Solanum lycopersicum: one gene and its partner. The protein of the gene in region 1 interacts with the protein of each later gene in a biochemical or structural test. Links are inferred from orthologs where the notes say so. Each region holds a gene or a part of one and is shown in the gene's direction. Other genes may lie near its edges. The genes, in order: increased DNA methylation 2 and methyl-CpG-binding domain-containing protein 7.

What was found.
Region 2: the proteins of increased DNA methylation 2 (region 1) and methyl-CpG-binding domain-containing protein 7 form a complex in vitro, tested with the Arabidopsis thaliana proteins (2 studies listed by BioGRID). The link is inferred for Solanum lycopersicum from reciprocal best matches to the Arabidopsis thaliana genes AT1G54840 and MBD7.

Annotation. Positions count from the first base shown.
Region 1 is NC_090800.1:85,088,838-85,098,618, forward strand, and holds increased DNA methylation 2, read left to right. Parts: upstream 1-3,756; 5' UTR 3,757-3,867; intron 3,868-4,558; 5' UTR 4,559-4,592; coding exon 4,593-5,808; intron 5,809-5,941; coding exon 5,942-6,222; 3' UTR 6,223-6,463; downstream 6,464-9,781. Other genes in the region: signal peptidase complex subunit 3B, read right to left, coding at 323-376, 1,178-1,240, 2,625-2,672, 2,797-2,922; cation/calcium exchanger 5, read right to left, coding at 6,886-7,650. UniProt on the Arabidopsis thaliana protein: Prevents DNA hypermethylation and transcriptional silencing of transgenes and of some endogenous genes. May act as a molecular chaperone of IDM1, regulating its H3K18 acetylation activity.
Region 2 is NC_090810.1:61,668,245-61,678,048, forward strand, and holds methyl-CpG-binding domain-containing protein 7, read left to right. Parts: upstream 1-4,404; 5' UTR 4,405-4,518; coding exon 4,519-4,698; intron 4,699-5,162; exon of another isoform or gene 5,163-5,612; coding exon of another isoform or gene 5,613-5,618; coding exon 5,619-5,738; intron 5,739-5,878; coding exon 5,879-5,917; intron 5,918-6,494; coding exon 6,495-6,635; intron 6,636-7,683; coding exon 7,684-7,845; intron 7,846-7,904; exon of another isoform or gene 7,905-7,931; coding exon 7,932-8,156; 3' UTR 8,157-8,160; intron 8,161-8,310; 3' UTR 8,311-8,588; downstream 8,589-9,804. Other genes in the region: zinc finger protein ZAT11-like, read left to right, coding at 156-647; protein ALP1-like, read right to left, coding at 9,089-9,804. UniProt on the Arabidopsis thaliana protein: Transcriptional regulator that binds CpG islands in promoters where the DNA is methylated at position 5 of cytosine within CpG dinucleotides.

The DNA of each region.
Region 1 (9,781 bases):
GGTCCTAAAAATTAATGAGTTGACGTATCCTTGGAGCTTCTAAAGCCTGCTCCTCAAATTTGGAGAAGACAGCCCCACGAGGCTTCACTAAGCATACATTCATACTTACAGGAAAATCCTATCACTGACAACAAAGTACAGGACCGTTGATTTACAAGGAGAAGCAAAGGGCAGATATGTTGATACATACTGTGCTAAGCCTTACTTTCAGTTGCAATACATTTATCAGACAAAGACACGAGCCTCAAATAAGATCTAACTAACAAATGAAATACAAGGAAGATATTAATTATATGCAGTTCTCAACCAATAGAAGATAGACCTGATTCAAAGCGTTCTTTGGAGTTTCATACTCAGCTGCCAAAAATACGAACACCTGCAAAATTTTAAACATTATTAGAATTGCACAGTTGCTAGAAGTAACTATAAAGGTAATCCAACCAACAGAGATCTGACCGATCAATGCCAACATATCTCTTAAAGTGTTCGAAGTTAAAACTAAAAAACTTTGAATTCAGAAATCTAGGAAACTTATTGCACGTAGTCTTGTTCTTTTTGAAATATTCCAGTCTCTTGTTACACATGTTAGGTAGCAGAATTTCAATATATGGTATACTGAAGCTGTAAAGACACTCTAAATCCCGTCCTCCAAATTCTCAAGGAAAATAAAAAGGGAGGAAACAAAATAGAACCAGCTTTCTCACAAGCACTGCAACAGGAATAATTTAAGTTCATTTTAATTTTTACTAAAAAGAAAAGGTGAAAGAGGAAATACTGCACCAAGTCATTGGACTAACTGGGAAAACGTCAACAAATTGTACAAGAAGGCATAGATTTAACTATCTAACACTGGTTTATATAGTCACTAATAGCCTCGTAAATTTGTGTAATGCATTCTATTTTCCAATTTCCACATCCTGTAATCCAGAGTCTTAACCGTGGCATCAACATCTAATATGACCACCTCTCCCCTTCACTCTAGTGAACTCCAGTGTTTCAGAACGGGGATGAAAAGTATACATATATTATGTCTTAGAGATTAGCTTAATTGAGCATAAGATGTATACAGATTGATACATCCACACTTTCATACTTTACATAGAAGAAAATCAGACTCAAGTAATAGGGTTAAAAGAGTGAAATCCAAACTATGGTGCAAATAAAATAGACACTAAACCTGCTTCGTATTCCACGTGAACAATGACTGTAAATCTGCCGATATGTTCAAGGTCAAACTGACCTGCATAAAAGGAAAAGTATACATGATATAGACAAACTTCTTTCATTAAGTTCATATAACCACTCAACCAACAATGGTAACAAGAATGCTTAACAAAAGAGCAGCTACCAAGTTCATGTAGATCAACAAGATAAAGAAAATAAACTGACACCTTAGGCAATATAATGTGCTAGCATATTTTTTTATGATATTTCAATGATTAAGAGATCTAAAAAAACATACGATTATTTTTTTATGCACATATATCACATAGATTCATGAAAATACTAATAGAAGATTGTTTTTCCTCCAGAGTTTTACTCAAAAGTTGTCTGCGGTCCTTTCGCTCTAAACCGAACCGAAAAAAGTGGTTCAACATATTAGATGTTGGTTTAACGTATTTAAAACCCGATAGTACATAAAACCAAACCGACCCGACCAATGCACACCTCTAGTAAGCTTAGTTAGCCCTCTATTATTGAAGTTAATATTGGAAACTTACTGGCAACTCTAACATTTAAAATAGACTAAAAACCAATGGATACTCTAAGAAATTGGGAATTAGTTAATAGTATTACATATGATAGCTTTATCTTTACAATCTGGAACTGCAGATTTAGTTGAATGCCTCAAGGCACTCAAACAATGCAAAAGAAGAAGAGGATCTCGAAGGAGTTAGCCGACTTAGTTCCTTTTTCTGTACAGTAGGACTGTTTTATTTGGTCGTCTTTATCTAATGAATTATGTCCAATTTACTTGTGATTTCATCGAGGAATTCGTTGATTCTCTTCTGTTTGATCCCTGTGAGTTTGAGTGGTGAAGAAAGTCATAACTCATAACTTTTACTAGTATTTTCAAGAACAATGTGATATCATGGGGGTTTAGAGAAAATTAGTTCAAACCTTAACTAACAATTCATGATTATTTAGGTTGATACTCATGCCTAACTAGGAGGATCTCCTAGATTGAAATTGAAAATTTTTTTAGAGAGAAGGTATTATAATGGAGAGTATACAATTGATAGTACAAAGAATGTCCGTACATATATGCATCAAACTTGGTTATTGAAATTGAACAATGTTATAGTTATATTACCTCAAAACAGAAAATCTCAAGATTTTTCCATTCTCAAATGAGAAAGCAAACAAATTTAACCAAGAATGTACATAGATCACATAGATTCCTGATTCCTCAAAGAATCCAGCAATACCCATATTCAAGAATTTGAAATAGAAATTATTAGAAAAAAAAAAAGAAGAAAGGTCAACCATCATAGTTCAACCAGTTTTTGAACCCAATTTACAATCTCACATACCGAATTCAACAAAAATTAATCCGAAACTAAAAACCCAGAAAAACCCTTTATCAAAATCGACAGATACAAATCTTTCGTCAAAGAAAATACCTCATCGTCCCCATCAGGTTTCTTCTGGAACCAATTGATATTCAACACCTGCAGAAAATCAAGCGTTCAAACACGTGGGTCATTTACAAAATTAACAGATCTAATTACAATCGACAAAGTTAACAAAAGGAAAACATAGATTCAAGTAGGGTTTTTAAGGAGGTAGGTGTACTTGAACTTCAGTTGTTGGAATCGGAGTATTGAAATTGTCGGAGAAAGAAGCTATTCCACACATAAACGCAAGGATGGTGACTGCCAATGTTAACAAAGCATTAGCTCTATACCCAAATGAATGCATCTTTGCTCCCGATTTTCTTCAATTTTTGGTCTTCTCAGAATATGGAAAATGGGGCTTTTAACGCTTAAGAGTTCAGACTTTAGTCAAATCTTGTTTTTACCCTTCTCTCTTTTTTATTTTTGGTCTGAAATTTAATGGTTTGTGTTGAGTTGTCAATTTATTATTTGATAGAACATGTCAATACTCATCATCTTATATTGGAGTATCTTTATTTTATTGAGAGAAATGACAAATAATTCTTCCGTTATATTTTTAGATATCAATATTTTTATCATTTAAAATTAAGTATATATTTATTTTTTGATTTGATATTTAAGAAATGTTTAGTTGGTGAATAAGATTGTAATATGTATATATAATTTATGCTCTAATTTCTAATGATAAAGGCAACTATATCACAACAATTGGGGAAAGGTGGAGATGAACAAATTAATGCAACAACAAATATACCATTCAATAGTTAACTTTAAATATTAATTTTTAAGAAAAACATGTTCTTGATAAAGATAAATATAGTGTTTTAATTAATACAACAAGTATTCCACGACATATCATTTCTTATTATAATTTTAAATTTCTAAGTATTCTATACTTTATTCTTATTTTATTTTTTCAGTCAATACCATAAATCGATTTAAAAATACTAAATTAAATCAAACTAAAGTAAAAAAAATCAAACTAAAGTAAATTAATTTGATTTACAATGCACATTTTTTTTAAAAGCAAATCAAAATTTGATAAAATCAAACCGCTTGAACTAAAGGCTATTTACCGTATAAGAAAAAACAATTCTTATATAATATTATTTACCAATTATATTGCATAACCAAGTAAAGGACGCGTGGCAGTGATTGGGATGACTGATTTCTGAAAAACCTCGTTGCTTTCTTTTGTGGCACTAGCAAATAGTTCAACTTACTCTCTGGAGAAGGAGAATTCATTGTGGTATGCTTTCTACACTTCACTTATTGATTTCTCACTTTGGAAAAAAACATAGAGTTGTATTTTACATTTTGTATTTCCTAATTTTACACTTCACTTGATGTCTTCTTTTTGTCAATTTTTCTCTGATTCTGGATTTGTACTATCATGTTTTTAGTGTTCTTGCATGTAAGAATCATCAATGAGTTGTTGCATGTGGATGTGACTTGCCAATGTGTTGATCTAGTGTAGAAATTGCTCTTAATTTGTGTTTGTACCTGCTTAAATCCAGTCTAGTGAAGCAATTTTAAGTTATCTATGTCAAAACAGATAGGCAGCCTAAACTATATTTTTGGAAAATGCTCTGTTGCATTTACTTAAAAGGCTCCCCTTTTTATGTACAAAAATATCCTCATGGATGACTTACAGAATCTCAATTACTAATCCTTTTGTGTGTCTTTGTCGTTCTAACCATCAAAATCATTCTTGATTTCAACCTTCCGTTTGCGAAATCCATATACGGTAATAGATGGTAAAAACTCCATATAATTGATCTTTTGAACTCGCTTCAAGCTATAATCACATATCATCAATCTTAGTGTTTACTTCTTCTTCTTTTTTCACTACTTACTGTCTTCATTGTATATGTTTCAACCGTGTTTTTTACTCAAGTCTAGAGTCAATATTTTTATCTGTTTCATTTCATCTGAAACAGATTAATCACAGAGTTCTTACTCTTTCCATCGAGCATGGACAACAACTTCACTGGATTGGTTCCAACGGATGATCAGTTTTTCCTCCTTTACTTCATCATTGGAACCTTCTTTGGACCAGATATCCCCGTAGAATATCCCAAAAGGTCAGTTTTGCAAAGAAAGGGTCTAGGCTTACCTCCATACAGTTCCAATCAATTAGCTGGTTCATGCCTAAGAACCATAGAAGTAGAAAGGGTTTACTATCATGCATTGAGAAAGGCAGATCGGTCTGTTGTCCTGGCACAACCGTGGCTGCACCAGTACTTTCATGGGAAGCTTCCTACTCTTTACCGTAAACAACCAGCAGCTTATCCTCGGTTCTGTGATCTGTTTCCTCCCAACCTGCATCCCCATTTATGCTGTCATGTGTATAATGTTATTGCAAACATTGTGTTCATCCATGACCCTGATACCAGTTATATCGAACCAGATAGTGTTAAGAGGTTCAAGAAGCTCACTGGTCTAGAACATCTGGTCATGGACAAAGATTGCACAAAATCACAAGCCGATGTTGATTACGAAGCTCTAACTAATATTCGAAACAAGGAGATATCCAATCCTGGTGATATCCTCCAATATGCATCATTAGCTGCTAGTAGCCTACCATATAAGGAGATACCTTCAAGTACTGAGCCATTTAAGGATTTACGACTTGACAATGAACAATTTGACTATATGTCTTTTACTAGTCTTTTGAAGGATGCTTCTGATGAACCATTTAATGGTGTGCCACCTGATAGCAATGGACAATCTGACACTAGACCTTTTAGTGGTCTCTTGAATGATGGCTCATGTAGTAATATGCCACCTCATCGCAATCGACAATTTGACACTACACTTTGTAGAAGTCTCTTGAGGAATGATGCTGTCAGCCAGTTTACTGATGCGCCACCAGATAGCTCTAAAAAATCTGATGATACTCCTTTTAGTAGCCTCTTTAAGGATGTCAGTCCACTGGCGGAAGAGTCTATGGGTCCATCATCAAAGCACACCAACTCTGACGACTCAGAGCTTAGCATTGTCTTCCTTCCTTCTTGCCCTTCTATGGAGGAGCTAAGTAACATTGTTGGTGCTACTAAAAGTGGATTTGCAGTGGCTGGGAGTGCAGCGAAGGGTAAGATAGGACCAGTTCTCGGGCTCTTGGATGTAGGAGAAAGTGAGGATGCTTACTTGTTCCGTGTATCACTCCCTGGAGTACAGAGAGATGAAAGTAAGTTACAATCATGATCTAAAATATTTTTCACATCTGAATTTGCAATTAGTCCCAGTTGACATATTTGATCTGCCAAATCCTTTTACAATATGGCGCACTGCATTCTTCTGATGATTTTGGATTCGACCAGGACTAATTTGTTCAAAATCTATGGTTAACTCAGGAGAATTTACTTGTGAAGTGGAGATTGATGGTAAAGTATTGATTAAGGGAATGACAACTGGTGATAGGACAGTCCACAAGTACTCTCAAGTATTCGAGATGCAAACTCAGAACCTATGTCCAACAGGAAATTTCACCATCTCTTTCAAGCTGCCAGGCCCAGTTGACCCTCAAGCATTTTCTGGTATTTTTGGCACTGATGGAATTCTCGAGGGAATCGTATTGAAAGCAGAAACATATTCTCAATAGAATAGGGTAAATTAGTGTCTTGTTAATTAGGAGGTAGTACCTCTACAAATTGCAACCTAGCTTATGTCTATGATAATAGTAATTTGGTGTGAATGCAACCAACTTACCTGTTCAATTACAAGTAAGGTAAGGTGTAAAAAGCTTAAACAGGCTGACCCACATTTAAAGATCAATCTGGGTGTAAAATCTACATTACTTAATTATGACAATTGATCACGTAACACAAAATCAACAATAATAACCTTTATCCAGAGAGCTAAGCAGTACTCTATTTTTAAAAAAAATGATAGTATGATTCGAGTAGTTCTGCATAAATACGAAGTTAAGCATTTTTCTCTATAATTCTGTTGAATTTCACAAGAAAAAATGTACTGGCTTACATGAAGCTTCTAGTTGACCAGAAATTTACTATACAACCAGTGGATTATGCTTTCCAGCTCACTTTACTCACTCCACAATGAACTGAAAAAAAAAATGAATTATTATGTTCTTGAATGGAAGCCAATAAGATCTTTAACTGATAAGTGAATGAAGGCTATCAACATAACCATTTCCTAGATATTGTGGCAAAGGCGCACTTGCCACCTACTTCATCTTCAAGAGTTTAGCAGCCCCCGCATGGTTCCAGACCAGTGATGGATGAATCAATTGTCTCTCCAAAACTCAGGCAGAGAACGTGGCAATGATCAGGCTTATTATCATGAATACAACATAGAGTCCTACTAGGCAAAATCCCCAGAATCTTGGCACCCGGAACCTATTCCAAGTAACTAAAAGCAAAGATCCCATCAAGCTCAATAGCAAGAAAACAAAAGCAACCACGATACTCACGTGGAGATGAAGCTCATAAGCTTCTGGATATACATTTGCTGTCTGCATAACCAAAGCAGTTCCAAGCCCAAAAAGCATGTTAAACATTGGCCCAGCAAAACATCCAGCCATGGCCATGGCCGGTTGGCCAGCCTTTGCTACAGCCACGTCTGCAACAAGATCACCTACTGAGTTTCCCCATGCAAGCACCGTTAAACCAAGAAAGGCAGCAGGCAGTTTCAGGAGCTCTCCAAGAACGGCAAGACAGTTGAGAAGTTCCCCAGCAACTGTGGAGATCCAAAATACACTCATAACAAATGCTATAACAACTGCAGGCATTTGCTCAGTTTTAGGGGCCTCCTTTTCAACAATGAAATGTACAACAGCCAAAGAACACGTAGCACAAAGTACAATGAACCAAAGAGGCAAATGGGTGTCTGAGAGAAGGAAAGAGATTGGATGATTTAATGGCACAAAAGATTTGCAGGAAAACAGAAGGAGGAGGGGGCAGAGAGCAATGTTGGAAGATAAACAGAATCTATTCCATTCAGAAGGTGCAGTCTGTGGTATGGTGAGCCTAAGGAGCATCGAGACAGGAAGTTTCCAGATTAGAGAGACCTGTCAAAAAAGAAATATTAAAATGTCAAAATGAAAATATTAAAATAGCTACACATTAAACTGAGATGCTGTGAACACCATCAAAATCCATAAAATAGAAGCATGGATTTAGTGTGCGCCTGATGGATTCTTCACGAGTGATCTAGTCAACAACATGGATTGCAGAAAGAAGCAACTAGCTTCCATAAAACACACTGAGAACATATTCCCACATAAAACACACTCACTTATCAAAAGATACTTGGTATGTTTAGATGTTACATTTATTATTGATTTTTTTAGAGTTTAGAGCCATGAGAAATGCTATGGTCATCATAATTCTTATGGCTTGATATAAAAATAACTTCCAGAAGGAGTGCAATCCAACTTCTTAGGCATGCTCTTCTGTTTGTCAGTTGCTTGCCCCCTATTCATTTCCTTCCTTGCACTTGAAAAGCATGGAGATGAAGTTCATTCCACATTTTGACATCCATTATGCCAGTGTCACGTCAGGGACTGCACCATGTAAGGTGTGCTCAGGCTACATTATTGTTACGAAGAGCTGCCTCATAATCCCCCTTCTCAATGATTGTATTGAGATTTAATTTCCTTTTTGTAATAAATTCTCCTTGCTTCTCTAATTTTCTCTCAATGAAGTTTTCCACTTTTATTACTAGATCTTGCCGTTCCTTGTTAAATGCATTTTCTGGAATAATAATTACTGATCTACTCCCTTCAGTTTGATAACAGAAATAAATCGATGGTACTTATTGAACTTCAGGGAGCAATAAACATATGTCGAAATGTCTCTGCATCTCTCAGATTTGAAGTCCCCCCCCCCTCCCCCTGCTTTCAGAAGCTTCCTTCTAATCTTTTGCATAACCAAAGTAAAGCTCCCCTTCTCAATATCATATGTCCGATAGACATCACTGTACTCTCCACCAACTCGAAACCATACCTCTGAAGCAGATACTGGTCTGTAAGATCATAAGATTCTGTCTGAAATATAACCACTCCATGTTCCAAGTAAATGCTACCTGAAAGAAAAGGCAAGAAAAGGAAGAGATTCCAATGGCAGAGAACCACCAGAGAAGGGGCTCTAGAAATCAAAGAAGGGATCTTTAGAAGCCACCTAGGATAAAGTGCTTGGGAGCATTTTTGTTATTTGGTGTTATCTGTTACTGTGTTACAGAGTCTTGAGTTTTATACTAAAAGGATATTTAAGCACTAGATGTCTAACTCTTCACAGCATATGTTGTTGTTTGCAAGAACAAGAAAAATCACTTTCCATATATTCTGAAATTACTAAAAAGGGAAAAATTAGACCCCAATATCCTCCAACTTACCGTCCAAGTATCTAGGACTCCCTCTGTTCTCTTTTACTTGTCCAATATACTAAAAATAAATTTTCCTTTTTACTAGTTCTTTTAGGCATAAGCAAGAGAGAATCAATTAGTATCTTTTTCCATTTTTTCATCAATAAGTAACCGTTTCCCAAACTAATTGAAGTATTAATAGACATTTAAATTTTCAAAGTAACATTTATAAGGATAATTTAGTTAGATAAACACTTAATTAATGATTTCTTAAAGGAAATGCAAAATGCAAAATGGACAAGTAACAGGGAATGGAGGGAGTAAAAGTTTGCTTGTCTGCATGAATAATGGATGCCTGAGGAACACACAAGGAAGGAAAATCATCTATACTTGTCATCATTAGATGCAGGATAAGACTAACCATAATGCTAGATGATTATTTCTAGTCAACGACGAATAGTGCTGCCTTAACCCTATCCATCATGGTTCTATTTAGTTATCTTACTTAATCGCCAGTTACATCCTGGCTTGGTACACTCCAAGATTGAAAAATTAATACAGAAGTAAAGAACTGAAGCCAAAGCTGTTTTGTTGCATAATTCAACACTAACACTCAAATATTATTTAGATAATTTCCCCAGTTCCAAAATTTGTGACCACCTGCTATAGTCATTGCAGAGTTCCCCCACCAAATCATTCTGAACCTTGAAAAGCTGCCATCTCAGATGGTTTACTTTTGAGGGTGCTAGAAGCACCTAGCCAGTTAGCTTTGCACCATCATTTGTCAAGACCATTATGGTCAACACAACTGACATTCAGCATTCTTAATTCCCAAA
Region 2 (9,804 bases), on another chromosome or scaffold:
CAAGGAATATTCAGACACACGCAAAAAAGTCAAGATACAAACTTATATATATATATATGAAGCAACACTAACCAATTAAGTGTATCATATTATTCTTCAGCTTCTAACTTCAATTATTTCTTTCAAAGTACTTCTAAATTTGATATCTTTGTAATATGACATCTATGAAAAGAAGCAGAGATGAGAATATGCAAATTGAAGTAGAGGCCATGGCTAATTGCGCTTTAATGCTTTTGTCTCGTTTTAATAACAACACTTCATCATCATCAGATCATCATCACATTAATGATTTTGAATGCAAGACTTGCAATAAACGCTTCCCATCTTTCCAAGCCTTAGGCGGTCATCGTGCAAGTCATAATAAAAAGCCAAGATTAATGGGAGAGTTTCTTGTTGAAACCAACAAAAAGAATAAGATGCATAAATGTTCTATTTGTGGTGTGGAGTTTTCTTTAGGTCAAGCATTGGGAGGGCACATGAGGCGTCATCGCGATGAAATTAATAAAACGATAATACCAGTGTTGACCAAGTCCAATAGCAGCAAGAGGATTTTTTGTTTGGATTTAAACTTAACCCCTCGTGATGATAATGTTGTTGATTTCAAGTTATCGCCAATTGCATCTCCTGTTCTGAGAATTTTTATTTAATTACTCCATTATATATTCTTGTAAGATTAATTAGAAGAAGAAGCTGTAATACTTCAGTTGTTAATTCATTCATTAGTTCATCCCCTTTATATATTGCAGTAAATCGTAATTAGTTTACGGAATATATATATAATCAAAATTCTCTAAGGCATGACATGAGATGACATTCAGGTCAAATTTGATTTTTTCGCTAATTATTTGACATAGGATAACACTTATTTGAATTTCGAGATTATTTTTATGCAAAAATTTATACGAACATCCGTTAAGACCTTATCTGTGGAGTCGGTTGTCACCACAGTCAAATTAGCACATTTTCAAGGTTAGACGAGCAGCAGAGCAGGTAAACCCCTTATTTTTCAGATTTTAATATGCTATAGTCCACCATCTTTTTCTGGTCATTCGGAATTTTGAGATCATTTTTGCCAAAAATTTACATGGACGTCCGTTAAGACCTTATCTATGGTGTCGGTTGGTCACCACGGCCAAATTAGCACATTTTCAATGTCAAACAAGCCCTAAAGCGGGTAAACCCTTTATTTGCCAATTTTCGTGTGCTATAGTCCACCATCTTTTTTGGTTATCCAGAATTTCGCAATCATTTTTGCCAAAAATTTACATAGACGATTCTTAAGACCCTACCTATTGAGTCGGTTGGTACCACGGTCAAAACGATCCATTTTCAAGTTCAAACGAGCCCCATGTAAGCCCCCCACTTTGTCGATTTTGGTGTGCTATAGTCCACCAACTTTTTTGGTCATCCGGAATCCCGAGATCATTTTTGCCAAGAATTTATACAGATGTCTATTAAGATCTTATTAAAGGACTCGGTTGGTCACCACGGCCAAAACGATCCATTTTCAAGATCAAACGAGCCTAGAACAGTTTAGCCCCTCATTTTGCCAATTTTCGTGTGCGATAGTCCACCATCTTTATTTGTGATCCGAAATTTTGACGTCATTTTTGCTTTCATGGACGTCCATTAAGACCTTAGTTATAGATCTAGTCGGCCCTAACAATGAAAACGGTCCATTTTTAAGTTCAAACGAGCTCCGGAGTGGGTAAACCTCCCCTCTCATTTTACCGATTTTCGTGTGCTATAGTTCACCATCTTTTTTGGTGATCCGAAATTTCGACGTCATTTTTTCAAATTTTTTCATGGACAATTGTTAAGACCTTAGCTATGGAGCCAGTTGGCCCTGAAGGCCAAAACGACCTATTTTCAAGGTAAAACAAGCCCCAGAGCATATAAACCTTCTATTTTTACCGATTTTATGTGTGCTATAGTCAATGGATTTTCGGTGATTTAGAATTCCGACGTCATTATTTTTCAAAAAAATTTCATGGATGTCTATTAATACCTTAGCTGTAAACCTAGTTGGTTCAGATTGCCAAAACGATCTATTTTTAAGGTCAAACGAGCCTCAAAGCAGGTAAATCTCCCTTTTTGTTGATTTTCGTGTGTTATAGTCCATGTATTTTTTATCATCCAGAATTTCAACGTCTTTTTTGCTGAAAATTTTCATGCACGTCCATTAAAACCTTACATATGAACTAGTTGGCCTTGATAGCAAAAATGGTGACTTTTTATTTTTCGATTCTTTTTTAAAAATCTATCCAAACGAGCTCTAAATGGAAAGTAATAGGAGGATGGCAAATGAGATGATATCAAATTGTCTTTTTTTTTTTTTTATGTTGTAAAAACTTAAACAATATATTTTTAAAATATAATTAAATACACTATATCAAATATCATTGCATTCGTCACCATCACCAACCTAAAAATAAGTACTATTACACTGTTGCTGCTAGTTAATTAGTGCTAATTAAGGAATTAGCACTAAACCATGTTGGTTGGTCTTTAGGTCTCAACTTGTGTGTTCCAAGTCACTGCTTTCATCACCAAGAAAGTACTTAGTTCAAATGGCACAATTTGTCCTTTACAAATCGCTACGCCATGTGTTTTCAGCAGCCCCTCATAATGTCAATCTTAATAGTCTTTTTAAATTAGATGTCATATTTTATATTCAAAATTTAAATTATTTGTATTTGAGTTCATATTATAAAATATATTTGTAAAAGAAAATTCATAATTTTATATTTATTATTCATTTATTTTATAAGAAAACATAATTTATAATTGATATTAATTATTACTCTAATCAACCTTTAAAACATTTATGTTGGATATAATCACTGTTCTCATCAACCAAATTTATTGTTGATATTATTATTCTTACCAACTTTTGAATAATTTTTAATATCGGACCTCACCAATCACATTTGGAGTTGATATTATTATCTTACCAACCTTTTAAATTATTTACATCGAGGTGTGTGAAAAGATCAACAAATATTTTAAAGATAACTTTATGATTGTGGTAGAGCGTCCGCTCCTACTTGGAAGTGTTGTAGAAAGCTCAAAGAAGGCAACAATACATTAATTTTCCGCTCACATGAAATGACCTGAAATATTCCTTTTAACGCGTTACCACATAGAGTACCCTACCTACCCCTCACTTAAAATCATTTGATTCCTTTTTCACTAGTAAACTACTATTCCGTTGAAATATTTTAATAATTTTTTATAAGATTAACGAGCAATTTATATTTAATAAGGGTGATATCTATTTTTATTTGTCATGATTCTTTTTTAAAGTCAAACGATAAAAATTTTAATTAACATTTTATGATATATTTTTTTAAGATATTGATATTTAAACTTTTTGTTTAAAATATCAAATTGATATAATTTAATTTAACTTTAAAAATTAGTCAAATTAACTTTTAAAAGACGCCACATGATAAATAAAAATAAATAGAAAAAATAATTATTTTTTGTCTAAAATCAAACAGTATAGTTAAACAGATAAAAGTATCGATCTCTAGTATTTCTTTGACTCACTTAACCTAAAGTCAAACATTTTATAAAGAATAATGTGATGCACGTTTTTTAAAAAACACGCCAAGCTTGTCTTATCTCTTGGTATAAATTTGAAGCAAAGAGAAACCAAATGTGTATCCTATTCTTCACTTCAAATTTCAAAAACAACTTTAATTTGTGTCGTCTTTCTTGATAATATGAAAAGAAGCAGAGAAGAGAATATGCAAATTGAAGCAGAGGCCATGGCTCACTGCGCCTTAATGCTTTTGTCTCGTTTCAACAACAACACTTGTTCATCGTCATCATCAGATCATCATCATCATATTAATGATTTTGAATGCAAGACTTGCAATAAACGCTTCCCATCTTTCCAAGCCTTAGGCGGTCACCGTGCAAGTCATAATAAAAAGCCACGATTAATGGGAGAGTTTCTTGTTGAAACCAACAAAAAGAATAATAAGATACATAAATGTTCTATTTGTGGTGTGGAGTTTTCTTTAGGTCAAGCATTGGGAGGGCACATGCGGCGTCATCGCGATGAAATTAATAAAACGATAATACCAGTGTTGACCAAGTCCAATAGCAGCAAGAGGATTTTTTGTTTGGACTTAAACTTAACCCCTCGTGATGATAATGTTGTTGATTTCAAGTTATCGCCAATTGCATCTCCTGTTCTGAGAATCTTTATTTAGTTACTCCATTATATATTCTTGTAGGATTAATTAGAAGAAGAAGCTGTAATACTTCATTGGTTAATTCATTCATTAGTTCATCCCCTTTATATATTGCAATAAATCGTAATTAGTGTACGGAATATATATACACTTAATTATTAGTATTTTTTTTTTTTTAACATACATAGATATTTGAAGTTGTCATAAAAAAAGAATAATGCATGTGACTAGTAATGTGTCATGAAAACAATAAACAATTAGCAATATATATATATACAAGTAATAAGTGGTGTCATGTTTAGAAGAGGCATACATGGAGAAACAGAATTCCTTACGCCGCCACCGAAGCGGCGCAGAGTACCCAACTTCCGGTCAACTAACGGCGTCTTCCTCGGCGATTACTCCGTACAGACCTTTGTCCTCAAGGTTTAAGTTACCCCCTGGTTGGGGTATTGAACAAGTGCTTCGCTCGAGTGGCGATCGAGTTGACAGAGTACACTTTTCTACTTTCAACTTAATTCGCTATTCATTTCTCACTAGTTATTATTTTCTTAGTTGGTGAAAAGGTTAAGTAGTAAATTCATATTCTGTTTTAATCAGATTGTGAATCATTTATTCCAAAGTGGAGCTAAATTTGAGTAGATGTTCACTTTCAATCATTTGAAACTAACGTTATTTTAAAGGTTTAGTGTTGCTTGAGATATGTTAGGGTTTAGAATGCTTTGCATTTTAGTGACTCTAGCGAATGCATAGGAGGAAGGATTACAGAAGCATGTATGTATAGGAGCCGAAAGAGCTCAACTCACTTAATTTTAGAGAAAGCAAAATCTGTTGTCATGGAATTGGAATATAATAGTGGACAAATGTCCCTGGGGAACGAAACTTACATGGTAGTATAGCTGACATGTAAGAGAGAGATATGAATGAATATGACATCTTTAGGACTTTTTCTCTCAGGTTATGCCGTGCGTGCGTGCGTGATCAATGTATCTCTACTTTGACGCGTCGATTTTGACCTTCAATTTTACAAGTCTATCACTGTTTTAGATCATTTCTGGTGCAAATAAACATAGACAGCAGAGGATCAATGATGAGTCCTTGCTACTATAATTACAGATATGGCATTCAATTCCAGATTTCTAACCTAATGTCATTGGTGGAAACCTAACGCTGAGCATCTGTGTTTACACAATGTGTAGATATCAACACCTCAAAAGATTAAAGCTGATTTTTGGATTGGAAATTTGTAACCTTTTGAGTGACCTATACATGGTTGGCCACCTTCATTCAGTTCGATGTGATGGAGCTAAATTTTTTTCCTATCCATGTGTCGGATTAATTATTAATTATATAAATGCCAATTATGTTTTAAAGCATCATACTCGTTAGCACATACATTATATTTTCATGCAGTACTACTATGAGCCTGGGACTGGACAAAAGTTCAGATCATTGAGAGATGTCGAGCGACGATTGAACGGTGAAATATTTGCTCCTAGAAACAGGGCATCGGGAGTGAGAAACTATCCTAAGGCAAGTTAAAGAATTGAATATTTCACAAAGATTTAGTAATATCGCTAGTTTGATGATGCCTGAGTATGAAATTCCTCTTTTTTTTTTTACTTGGTGTATTTATCTGTTCTGGTCATACACGGAGTATTCGTCTTTCACAGAGTTCTCTGTCTCGGAAGATGGTCATCTGCGATGGGAAGGTACTGCACTTTGGCTCTGAGATCTTTTACATAACTACTTCTTGTGGATGGTATGTGTTGAATCATTATTTAAGTAATATATTTTCGTTAAACTTTATTTACATTTTTTTTTCTTGTGTTTTTTTATCTTGGGGTCGGGACAAGGGCAGCTGGAAGAAGAGGGTCATATTGTTGCTCTTCTTCTCCCTATTGTTCTTGTAATTGAAAATTGTCAAAAAACAATATACTTGTTTTTTCAGAAGAAAACGAATTATGCTAATTCGTGTGGGGAACTTCTAGTCATTTAACCTACTAAAAAGTAACTCTGAAAAAATATAGTCCAAATTTTCGGTCTAATGTTGGTTAGTAAGATTCTGAATCTTCTCCTAGTAATTGCAACAGCAATCTCAAGCTTTTAGTGTAGTGAAGGCCTTGGGAACTTTGAAGTCTGTGCAGAATACCAATTTCTCACTGTTATCGTCGTTTTGTTATGATTTTAAAAACTTTAATCATCACATGATGGTGCCTTTAGGCAAGGTGAAAGATGTATTCTGAATCAAATAGGAAACTTGATAGTTGTCATTGGATTAAATTTCAGATCGTTAGAATGGATGAAGAGCAGTTGAATGAATGGGCAATTGTGCCGTCAACAAGAGCAGCCACCTTACCCTATGACCTTCCTGATGGTTGGGTGATAGAAGAGGTACCACGTACAGACGGAAGCAGCATGGTGGATAAGGTACGATCTCATGTCCTTCAGTAGTGAATTTGTTTCATCTATCTACCTCTTGATATCAGCTGCTGTAATGTTTGCTCAAATTGGCCCAATCAGATGTGTCTAATAAATCGGGGTAATTTTTAGATCGGAAGTAACATCTCTGGCAGTTTGTGAAGTATAGTTTTCTTAGGTAAGAGAGCATTCCTCTAAGGGTGGATAGCGGATGGTGAGGCAGGGTTGGAGTAGAATTATCCTAAAACTTTGAACTCTTCTCATAAGCTTTTCCTAAACATTGTAGAACATGTCTCGTGATTGAGATTCATTGATATGTGCTTCATTTTGCACGTTTGAGAGAGTGCTATTTGAGCATGCTCTTGCTTTTTACGCAATTATCAGGAGAATTACTATCTGTGACAGGCATTAGGTGCATTAGTAATTACCTTGCTGATCTCATATAATCGACATTGGCGGACCAGTCGTGGGGTGCACCCTGACCCTAGTGTTGTCAATTGATGCCACTTTGTCAAAATGTTATTTTACTAAATATGTATGTATTGAAAACAAGCAAAATGAAAATATCGGGTGTAAATTAGAAAAATGACACCGCATGTCAATATAGTAACTAATTTATGTGTTCACTTTTTAAATGTTCACACTGTTTACGAAATATTCTGCGTAAGCCACTGTGGAGAACTAGATTAGATTTTACAACCTTGCTAGAAATCTAAGTGAATTATTTTAGTTTATAGGACTGTATAATCCATCACATGTGGGCACAACATCATAGTTCCATCCTTAAAACCCTGACGGATGTGCTAAGACCTTCTCCACACCGTGTGGAAGGACCACATATGAGGTAGGGGTAAGGTCTGATACACTCCACCCTCTCCGAACCCCACTTTGTGAGACTACACAGGGTATGTTGTTGTTCTGTGTTTCATCTATTAACATGCTGTTCTTGTTCGTTTGGGATATTATTTCAACGACTACTCCGTTTCTCCTTTTCCTTGTTATGGAAAGTGCCTCTCTGATGAAATTGTAAACTTTTTTTTTTGGTCCTCGTGTGCAGTATTACTATGAACCAGGTAGTGGACAAAAATTTAGATCCAGGATAGCGGCACAAAGATACTTGGCTCAAATGAGAGAAAATGTTCCTTTGTCCGCTACTCTAGAAGAATTGAAAGAGAATAAACCACTGTCCAAGATGTTTAAGTTGTACCATCATGCAAAGGTGAGCTAATATCATGAAGGGCAATATAAGCATGACATTTATTTTCTTTTGATGTCAAGAATATGTCTGCTTATTTGCCTTTGTAGAAATCTCTTCCATGTAAGAGGAACATCGTTACAGAGAATTCGGACAATTCATCGTTTCTTTCTCCACCAGCAAAAGTAAATTGGGTTCTTTCTAGTCCTAAAGGGGATGCTTGGAATCCTGTGATTTCTGGAACACCTATTCCTGATTCACTAAAACAACAATGGACTAAAAGATTCAAGTTGTTCATGAATGACGAGAACCTGAATGCAGAAAAGTCAGACTAGAAAGGTAAGTGAAAGCACTAAAGCTTCAACTCTTCTATACTCCCTTTCATATACTATATATGTATATTTCCTCTGGAGGTAACGTTTCCCAACAAACATGTGGAAGCGCACCTGAACACAGCTCTCTGCATTTGTTTTCTTATCCTCCTTGCAGGCACTAAACGGAGAGAATGCAGTTGTTTACGCTTCAAGAAAGCTCGGACTGCTTCTGACCTATGAGAATTGGATGCTGAATCTTGTACATACTAACATTATGCAACTCCTTAATCACTTTGCTGTTTAACCACTGTAGAGAATCTGTTGTCCTGTTTATTCTGTGTTTGTTCATGTGTTGTATAACAATTCGACAACTTTTTTCTTATGGTACATGTTCAAGTACGGATGTACAATTAAAGTTTGTCAGTTAAAGGCAGTATAGCAGCATTTAGTATATATCCTGATAAAAACTTGCTCAAGAAAAGAGTTTCGCACTCTTACAACGCCAGCACACCTGTTAAAACTCTCTTCGGTACTACAAATCGAGCTTCCTAAAGAGGTGCTTTCTGGACTCGATTCACGTCTGCTCTAATGTGATAAAACACTCCGATTTAGAGTTAAGCCAACGGTAGGAACAACTCAAAGTTGCTAACTGTGAAAGTTACCAAGAATTTGGGCAACCCTTGGCACCATTCATAGCACAAGTTAAACAAAATGCTAAATATTGAAAGTTACCAAGAATTTGGATAACAAAAGACTCTATGCTTAAATAAGGAAACTGTCCACCCATGATGTCTTATTTCCATGTTATATCTCAAAGTCTACTCTAATCAAACTTATAATACAAAACATAGAAATCAAATGCCTACAAATCTTTGAAAATACTCTCTATCTGTCATCAAATAGATAGCTTATGCTATTCACTCACCAAGAAGCATTCACATCATTTAAGAATGTCATCTTCCAGATAAGTGGAGGGACAGATTGTCCCTCAAAACTGAAGCAGTCTTGTCGACAGATTTACAGACCTCTTGCCGGTATCCCGGGTCATGAAGATGAGATGATAGAGGCAACTCATCCAAGACATCATCTTCCATGTCAATAACAATGTTGTGAAGAATGCAGCATACAAGGATAAACCTTGGTAGCTTGTGCTTGTCAGGTCTCCACATCATTCCATGAATCATTTTCCAGACATCTTTCAGCCTAGCTAAGGCCCTCTGTGCCACTATACGAGTTGCTAAATGCCTTTTATTGAAGTCAGCTTTAGATTCTGAAAGTTCTTTGTCTTGATAAGGAGTTAAAAGCCAAGGTAGCAAGGCATAACCAGAATCACCAACGATATATTCCCGTAGTTCTGTTTCTTCAGACAGCTTCATCTTGTTTCCATTCAACCTCTCTCCTTTCTCGCAGAGTTTAAATAATGTTGAGCTCTGAAGCACTGAATTCTCGTTCAGCTTTCCTGGCAATCCTGTGACAACATCACGGAACCTCATATCAGGGTCAACAACTGCTTGCAGGACCATGCTGTGGTTCTTATTTTGATCGAGCCATACGTCAGCTGTCTGCTCAGAGGAAGATAACATCATTGTGATGTGTGTAGCATCAATTGCACCACAACAGTTTGGAAGTCCTTGAATTCTTTCAAACTTGGACTTTATTGCTGTCATAT